Linked DNA regions of Callithrix jacchus. The protein of the gene in region 2 interacts with the protein of the main gene of each other region in a pairwise test. Links are inferred from orthologs where the notes say so. Each region holds a gene or a part of one and is shown on either strand. Other genes may lie near its edges.

Region 1 (4,163 bases), on a different chromosome or scaffold from region 2:
TTCCTCCCTGACTCTTCAGTCTCCCCAGGGCAGGAACTTGGATGCCATGACCTGTATCTGTTGAGTCAGCCAGTGAGGAAGAAAGTACTGAACCTCCGACAGTGTTGTGGATTCCCATGAGAACCCCAGTGAATTCCAGGCATAGGTATTTGCCATTTGAATAGTGATTTTCATTTTCACAGTTGGGAGACAGAATTTAATTTGTACTAAAACATGTCACACCTGCTCCCTCCAACCCTTATCAATCTGTGCTACTCAGTCCTTGTGACAGCTGCGCCGATGGCTGGGTTTTCCAGGGAGGGGTGTGTAAGGAGCTCTCACATTTACCGACTGCCTAGTGACATACTTTAGGTTGCTACCCACTGTCTTTAATCCTGATAGCCAGGAGAAATTTCTTCTTCCCTGTTTTAGCGGTAAGAAAACAGAGGCTCAGAGGAGATTGAGTAACTCACCTTCCTAGGATGGCACAGCTGGCAAAGAACTATGTCGTTTCAAAGCCCAGCTCTGACCCACAAGTCTCTCTCTGTAACTTCAACATGATCTCCAGGGGCAGGAGGCAGGACCCCGGGGCTCTCAACCCAAGGAGTGTTCCCTCGCCTTTCCTTTCAATCTATTTTATGAAAACCAGCGGATACGTCGGGCACGGTGGCTCACGCCTGTAATCCTAGCACTTTGGGAGGCTGAGGCAGGCAGATCACTTGAGGCCAGGAGTTCAAGACCAGCCCAGCCAATGTGGTGAAACCCTGCCTCTACCAAAAATACAAAAATTAGCCAGGCGTGGTGGTGTGAACCTGTAATTCCAGCTACTGGGGAGGCTGAGGGAGGAGAATTGCTTGAACACAGGAGGTGGAGGTTGCAGTGAGCCGAGATTGTTCCATTGCACTCCAGCCTGGGTGGCAGAGTGAGACTGTGTCAACAAAACAAAACAAAACAACGAAACCATCAGTGGTTAAAAGACAAACTTTGGGAACTCTCATTCCTCTCATTCTTCTGCCCCACAACCACAGACAGCAAGACAAGGCTTGCAATTCACTGGTCACCTCTGGCCCTCGCAAGAAACACTTGTTAGGCACTGTGGTCAAATGCATACATAAATGACAGTCTTCACAGGAGGGAGTTCTGCTCAAGCTACTATATTTAGCAAATGTCTATATTTAGCCAAAGGTCCTTTAAATGCCTTGTACTTCTTTTGTTTATTAATTAACGTAACAGACGTTGAGGAACACCCAGTATGTGTCTGGCTCTGCCCTGCGCTCTTGGGATACAAAAGATACTGCCTGTCTGGATGTCACCTTCTACAGGTGAACAAATAATAAGACATCTGACTGCCACGCCGGGTGTGGGCAGCAAGAGCTGGTGGAGTGCTGTGGAGCCAGGGAGACTTAGTCCTGGTGTGATGTGAGAAGGCTGAGTTTGGAGGTCTCCTGGAGGTCACAGTGGGCTTTCAGGAATGAATAAAGCTTTGCCTGGAAAGCTTTTTTCTATCTTATACAGAGAAAAACAGAAGTCTTGATTCACTCAATATTCAACAAATACTGAGTGACTGCCACATGTCCATAAGAGCAAAATCAGGTATTTACAACTGCAAACACCTAAGGACTGGTTACAGAGTAGACCCTCCCAGAATATCTGACTGAGGCAAACAGCCCAAATGGCTCAGAAGTGTTTCCTGTGGAAAGAATCACATGTGGAATAGCCCGCCATCAAACCCAACACGGAAGAGAACCTGCGAGGCAGGTTGCAATACAGAGACTTTCTTTGCTTTCATACATCCACCTGGCACGCAGTTCAAATGATACAAAGGGAACACTGTCAAAAATTAAGCTTCCTTTGTCCCCCTGGGTCCCCAACCTATTGGGGTCCCTTTTCCCAAGCTGCAGCTCTCTGTCCCTGGACGGCTTTCTGGATGTCACATACATTCTTTAGCCTTAAGGTAGAACCCTTGAGGGAAATAAAAAAGGCATTGTACAAATACACACTCTGGTGCGCCTTCAATTTGTCACAGGTAAAGTTCATCACCAAACACGATCTTAGTTACAATCAACTCTGCCCAGGAAACTTTAATGAAGACCTTTCCGTGGCCTGGACCCGTTTCCGGGCTCAGTCCTGAAACAATTCACTGTGACCCCGAAGTTCATCTCTGAGCTGCACCTTGAGTGACATCGATGGATCCACGACAAATGGTCACCGGAGCGACTCGGCCATTTCGGCATGGCCATGTGGCCTTCGGGGACCGTCCCTGCCTCCAGGTCGGGCCTAAGCCCCTGCCCCCTCCCATGCGGCACAACAAAGCGGGGCGCTCGCCCCCGCCCCCGCCCGGCCAGCCCGGGCCACCTCGCGCGCTGGCGGCGCCGGCTCCTCTCCCGAGGGCGCAGCGGCCGCCGGTGGCCGGGGTGGGGGAGGGCGCGCAGCGTTGCGGGCCGGGCCCGGGGCTGGAGGACGAGTGCCGGGTCCGCAGGCCGCCGAGATCCCGGCCGGGGTGCAGCGCCAGGGATTCCGCGCCCCTGCGCGCGCCTGCCGGGCCAGCCCGCCTGGGGCCAGACGCTCAGCCGGAAGGACGCGCAGCGGGACAGACGCCCGGAGGGACCCTGACAGCCGCCCGGCCCCGCGCCCGCCCCGCGCCCCCAGCTGCCAGCCCGGCGCGCTCACCTCCCGCGCTATCTGGTTGAGCGCGTCGTCCTCCGCCGTGAGCCGCTCCCGATTGGGGAGCCGCTTGCGCCCCGAGCCCTGGGTGCCCATGTCCATCGACCGCGTCGCCCGCAGCTGCCGCGGGGCCCGTTGCTCCCGCCGCTCGCACCGCCCCGGCCCCTCCCTCCGCCGCGGCGTCATGGCGTCAGCGGGCGCGGGGCCAGGACCGCGGGGACGCGGGGGACGGGGGCCGCGGGGACCCAGGGGAAGCCAGGGCCGGAGGTCCGCAGCGGGGGCCAGGGACGGCGGGGGGCGGCGGCGGGGGGCGGAGACGCCAGGGATCAGGGACGATGGGCGTCCGAGACATTGAGGGCGCGTGGATCTGGGGAACGCCGGGGCCGGAGGTCCACAGCTGGGGCCGAGGACTGCAGGGGCTGGAGACGCTGGAGCGGGGGAAGCGAGCGGGGGACGGAGACGCCAGGGGTCAGGGACAATGGGGGTCCGATGCCCCGGGGACAATGAGGATGCCCAGAGCCGGGCACGCGGGACCTGAGGCACCGGGAGCCCTAGAGTGCGCACCTCCGTGGGGACTGTTTGGCTGGCAGGTAATCGCGGAGCGGCGCGCCCAGGGCGGTGGGCAGCGGTCTGCTGGGGACCTGCGCGGAGGGCTGGGTTGCCTTGAGGGATTTGCACGGAGGGGTGGGCACAGGATACTGTTCAGCCTGGCGCCCCCATTCCGCGGTGAGGCGGAGTCGAAGTCGGTCGCTGGAGTGGGAGCTGGGCTCTGGGCAGGCCGAGGTGTGCTCGGACCCGCAGCTACTGCGGGTTCCTGTGACCTTGCCCAGCCTCCTGGCGCTGGCTTCACAGGCTCTGGGAACATCGTGTGGATGTGCGCGTTTCTGTCTTTACACGCGTGTTTCCATGCTGGCATCCCTCCTTCTCCCCGATGTCTGCCCCCTGAGATCAGGGACTTGTCACTTCTTTCTTGGGTCTCCAGCCTCTAGGATGCCGGCAGGTGCATCGCAGCTCTCTCCTAGTTGTTGAGAAAGTAATGAACTTAACCTGTGCTCTCCAAAGCTCAGTCCACCTTCTAGAGGTGGATTTAAAAGTAAATCAAACCAGAGGTTTAGGTAAGGGTTAAAAGCCCCTGCAGGAGTACCGGGTGGGAAAGTGACTGCTGTGTTTGGGGGCTGGGGGGAACTTCCAGTGGCTGGACCTGGGGAAGGATGGGAGGGAGGGTACTGATGGAAGAGGAGAGGGTGCTGTACTGAAGTCACCTGTCATTTTTTTCCTCCAGTGATAAGGATGGTTAACATTTTGGAGTATTTCCAACCAACTAATGTGACCAAATTGCCTTTGGCTTCTTAGGGAGGTAACCTGGAAGCTGGATGGAAGTGGGAAGAGGAAGGGGCCCCCCACCCCGGTGACAGGGAAAGCGGTTGGAGGTTTTACTGCAGGGAAAAGACAGTGAGTTCAGTGACATGGGAGGGAGGGCTGATCCAGGTGACATTTCTCAGGGTGCCTTAGCTGATGCA
Region 2 (3,640 bases):
AGGTGGGCTGCCTCCCTGTATCCAGAGCACGCTCCACAGTCTCATTTAAACCCCCAACCAGCCTCAGAGGTGGGTGGGACAAGAACCTGGTCCCTGGCCTCTCAGCCCTGGTGGCTGCAGACAAGAGCAGGAAACTGGATTGGTGTGTCTGGGAGGTGGGGCGCAGGCTCAGTGCCAGCTCTGTTTATCCTACGGGGCAGGTCCTGGACGTGCGGGAGAACCCCAACCTGGTCATGCCACCCAAGCCCGCGGACCGTACCACTGAGTGGTACAACATCGACTTCTCGCTGCAGAACCAGCTGCGGCTGGCAGGTGCCTCTCCTGCTACAGTGGCTGCGGCTGCAGCTGGTGAGTGAGGAAAGGTCTCGCCTGGGAGCCGGGGTTCCTCTCAGACCTCAAATTATGTATCTGTAAATTGGGTGGGATACAGCTTTCTGGACCCTGGGGGATGGAGTTGGCCCCTGGTTGGTTGCAGGCGAAGGGGGCGGCAGGCCCAGAGAGGGCTCAGCTGTTTGCCCTTCCCCTAAGCAGGGAGTGGGCCCAAGGACCCTCTGGCTCGCAAGATGCGGCTGCGGAGGCGCAAGGACTCAGCCCAGGATGACCAGGCCAAGCAGGTGCTGAAGGGCATGTCAGATGTTGCCCAGGAGAAGAACAAAAAGCAGGAGGTAAGCCAGGCCTTGGCTTCTACTCAAGGCTGACCCTGGCCTTGATCCTGGCCAAGAGGGATGGGGGACGCTGGCAGCGAGATTAGCTGTGCAGAGGCCCTGTGGGCAGCAAGTAAAGACCGGCCTGAGTGGCTTCACAGAGTCACGCCATGCTCTGTGACTCTGCCCCCAGGAGAGCACAGATGCTCAGGCCCCTGGCGGGAAGGTGCGGCGCTGGGACCAGAGCCTGGAGAAGCCGCGCCTTGACTACTCGGAGTTCTTCACGGAGGACGTGGGCCAGCTGCCCGGCTTGACCATCTGGCAGATCGAGAATTTTGTGCCTGTGCTGGTGGAGGAAGCCTTCCATGGCAAGTTCTACGAGGCTGACTGCTACATCGTGCTTAAGGTGAGGGCTGGCCATGTTGTTAGGGGCCTCCTCTAAGATGGCTGAGTCCCCAACTCCAGAGTTTTGTTCAGGGAGGCCAGGTGGGAGGTGGGTAGGCCGATGGAGGTGGTCCAGGCACAGGGTAGTACAACACCGCTGGGGCTGGGAAGCCCGTGCTGTTCAGAGTGGCCTCTCTGGGGTGGCCAGAAAGCCAGGATGAAGGCTGACATGACCGATGCATTGGCTCCCAGACCTTTCTGGATGACAGCGGCTCCCTCAACTGGGAGATCTACTACTGGATTGGTGGGGAGGCCACGCTCGACAAGAAAGCTTGCTCTGCCATCCATGCCGTCAACTTGCGCAACTACCTGGGTGCCGAGTGCCGCACTGTCCGGGAGGAGATGGGCGACGAGAGCGAGGAGTTCCTGCAGGTGCCAGCCCCTTCTAGAACTGGGGGCGGGCAGAGTGGGGGACCCAGGGAACTCTGGTGCAGGGGCAGTGGGCCCAAGGCAGGTAGGAGGAACAGGTAGGCAGGCAGGGAGCTGAGGCCAAAGGGGGCTGGATCACAATACTGTGATCCAGATCCTGATCTGTGTTACAGACCTAAAGCAGATGGCAGCGTAAGGTCTAGGGGTGGCCAAAGCCTGGGTCAGTGGAGAAGAGTTCAGGAACACAGGGCAGAATTCAGCCCGGCAAGGATGAGGGTGCAGGCTTTGCATGGGAGCAAGACCAAATGACAAGGGAGCTAAGAGCAGAGGGAACTGAGAGCAGGGTGGAAGGGGTGTTGCCAAGAGCAGTGAGGAGGTGGGGCCAAAACCTGTTACTAGGGGGCGGGGACGTACCTGGGTAACAAGATGGCAGGGCCAAGCGCAGGACTAGAGTCCAGTCTTGAATAAATTTTGAGCCCTGTTAGCCACCAGCTGGTTACACCTAGACATATGTTTGCATGTACACACACATGGAGTTCATGTGCACACACACCCCCACCCTGAGTTTTTACCCATATTCACCCAGATTTCCACTCTTCCACGAACCCACTTGCTTGTGTACTCCAAACATGCTGCAGGCATCTTTACACGCGTGGGTGAACATACCCATATTTTCATACATCCCAACACCCCAATGTGTATATGTTTATAGGCACAGATCTGTTTTTTTGTTTTGTTTTGTTAGACGGATTCTCACTCTTGTCGCCCTGGCTGGAGTGCAGTGACACAATCTTGGCTCACTGCAACCTCCGCCTCCAGGGTTCAAGCAATTCTCCTACCTCAGGCTCCTGAGTAGCTGGGATTACAGGCATGCACCACCACACCTAGCTAAATTTTGTATTTTTTTTTTAGTAGAGATGGGCTTTTGCCATGTTGACCAGGCTGGTCTCAAACTCCTGAGCTTAGGTGATCTGCTCTCCTGGCCTCACAAAGTGCTGGGACTACAGGCGTGAGCCACCGTGCCCAGTGCCCAGCCAGATCTGTTTTTTGTTTTTGTGTTTTTTTTTTTTTTTGAGATGGAGTTTCGCTGCTGTTACCCAGGCTGGAGTGCAATGGCGCGATCTCGGCTCACCGCAACCTCCACCTCCTGGGTTCAGGCAATTCTCCTGTCTCGGCCTCCTGAGTAGCTGGGATTACAGGCACACGGCACCATGCCCAGCTAATTTTTTGTATTTTTAGTAGAGATGAGGTTTCACCATGTTGACCAGGATGGTCTCGATCTCTTGACCTTGTGATCCACCCGCCTCGGCCTCCCAAAGTGCTAGGATTATAGGCGTGAGCCACCGCGCCCAGCCATTTTTGTGTTTTTTAATAGAGTTTGCTCTTGTTGCCAAGGCTGGAATGCAATGGCACAATCTTGGCTCACCACAACCTCCGCCTCTCGAGTTGAAGAGATTCTCCTGCCTCAGACTCCCAAGTAGCTGGTATTACAGGCATGTGCCACCATGCTTGGCTAATTTTGTATTTTTAGTAAAGATGGGGTTTCTCCATGTTGGTCAGGCTGGTCTCAAACTCCCGACCTCAGGTGATCTGAGCAGCACCACCAAGGCCAGGTACAAGGACACTGTAGGGTCTTTTGTGTGAAGGAAAGGGGTGTGAGCCTCACTGATGACTCTGCATCATGCTCTCAGGCTCTTTGCAGAGAAAATTAACAAGAATGAGCAGAAAGGGAAGGCTGAGATCACACTGCTGGTGCAGGGCAAGGAGTTCCTGGGGTTTTCTGGGAGGTACTGGGTAGGGAGTCCTCTGAGCTCTGCCTTGGCCTCCCAGAGTGCTGAGATTACAGGCGTGAGCCACGGCGCCTGGCCAGATCTGCTTTTTTAAAACATCATAGATTTGTAGCACTCAATTCACCTGTATGCAACTCTGTACCACACCTGATGGGCGGTGTGGTTGGTGGGGGAGGGACAGCTCAGTGATGAAGAACCACACCCTCACACACAGGTGTTTGACAATGACATCTCCTACATTGAGGGTGGAACAGCCAGTGGCTTCTACACTGTGGAAGACACACACTACATCACCAGGTGAGACGTGTAGGCAGTGGGGAGCATGGAGCTGGAGTTGGCTGGAAAGGGGTGGAGAGGAGGGTATTAGGGATAAATTGGGCCATTGGTGCCCAC

Evidence for each region. The genes of interacting proteins can lie anywhere in the genome.
Region 1: the proteins of FLII (region 2) and LRRFIP1 interact in binary tests that used the Homo sapiens proteins (3 or more experiments, as listed by UniProt). The link is inferred for Callithrix jacchus from reciprocal best matches to the Homo sapiens genes FLII and LRRFIP1.

What each region holds. Positions count from the first base shown.
Region 1 is NC_133507.1:158,928,495-158,932,657, reverse strand, and holds the start of LRRFIP1 (leucine-rich repeat flightless-interacting protein 1), read right to left. Parts: upstream 2,810-4,163; 5' UTR 2,746-2,809; coding exon 2,650-2,745; intron 1-2,649. Other genes in the region: RAB17 (ras-related protein Rab-17), read left to right, coding at 2,979-3,233.
Region 2 is NC_133506.1:82,680,995-82,684,634, reverse strand, and holds part of FLII (protein flightless-1 homolog), read left to right. Parts: intron 1-200; coding exon 201-348; intron 349-528; coding exon 529-665; intron 666-837; coding exon 838-1,050; intron 1,051-1,280; coding exon 1,281-1,460; intron 1,461-3,461; coding exon 3,462-3,544; intron 3,545-3,640. UniProt on the Homo sapiens protein: Is a regulator of actin polymerization, required for proper myofibril organization and regulation of the length of sarcomeric thin filaments. It also plays a role in the assembly of cardiomyocyte cell adhesion complexes.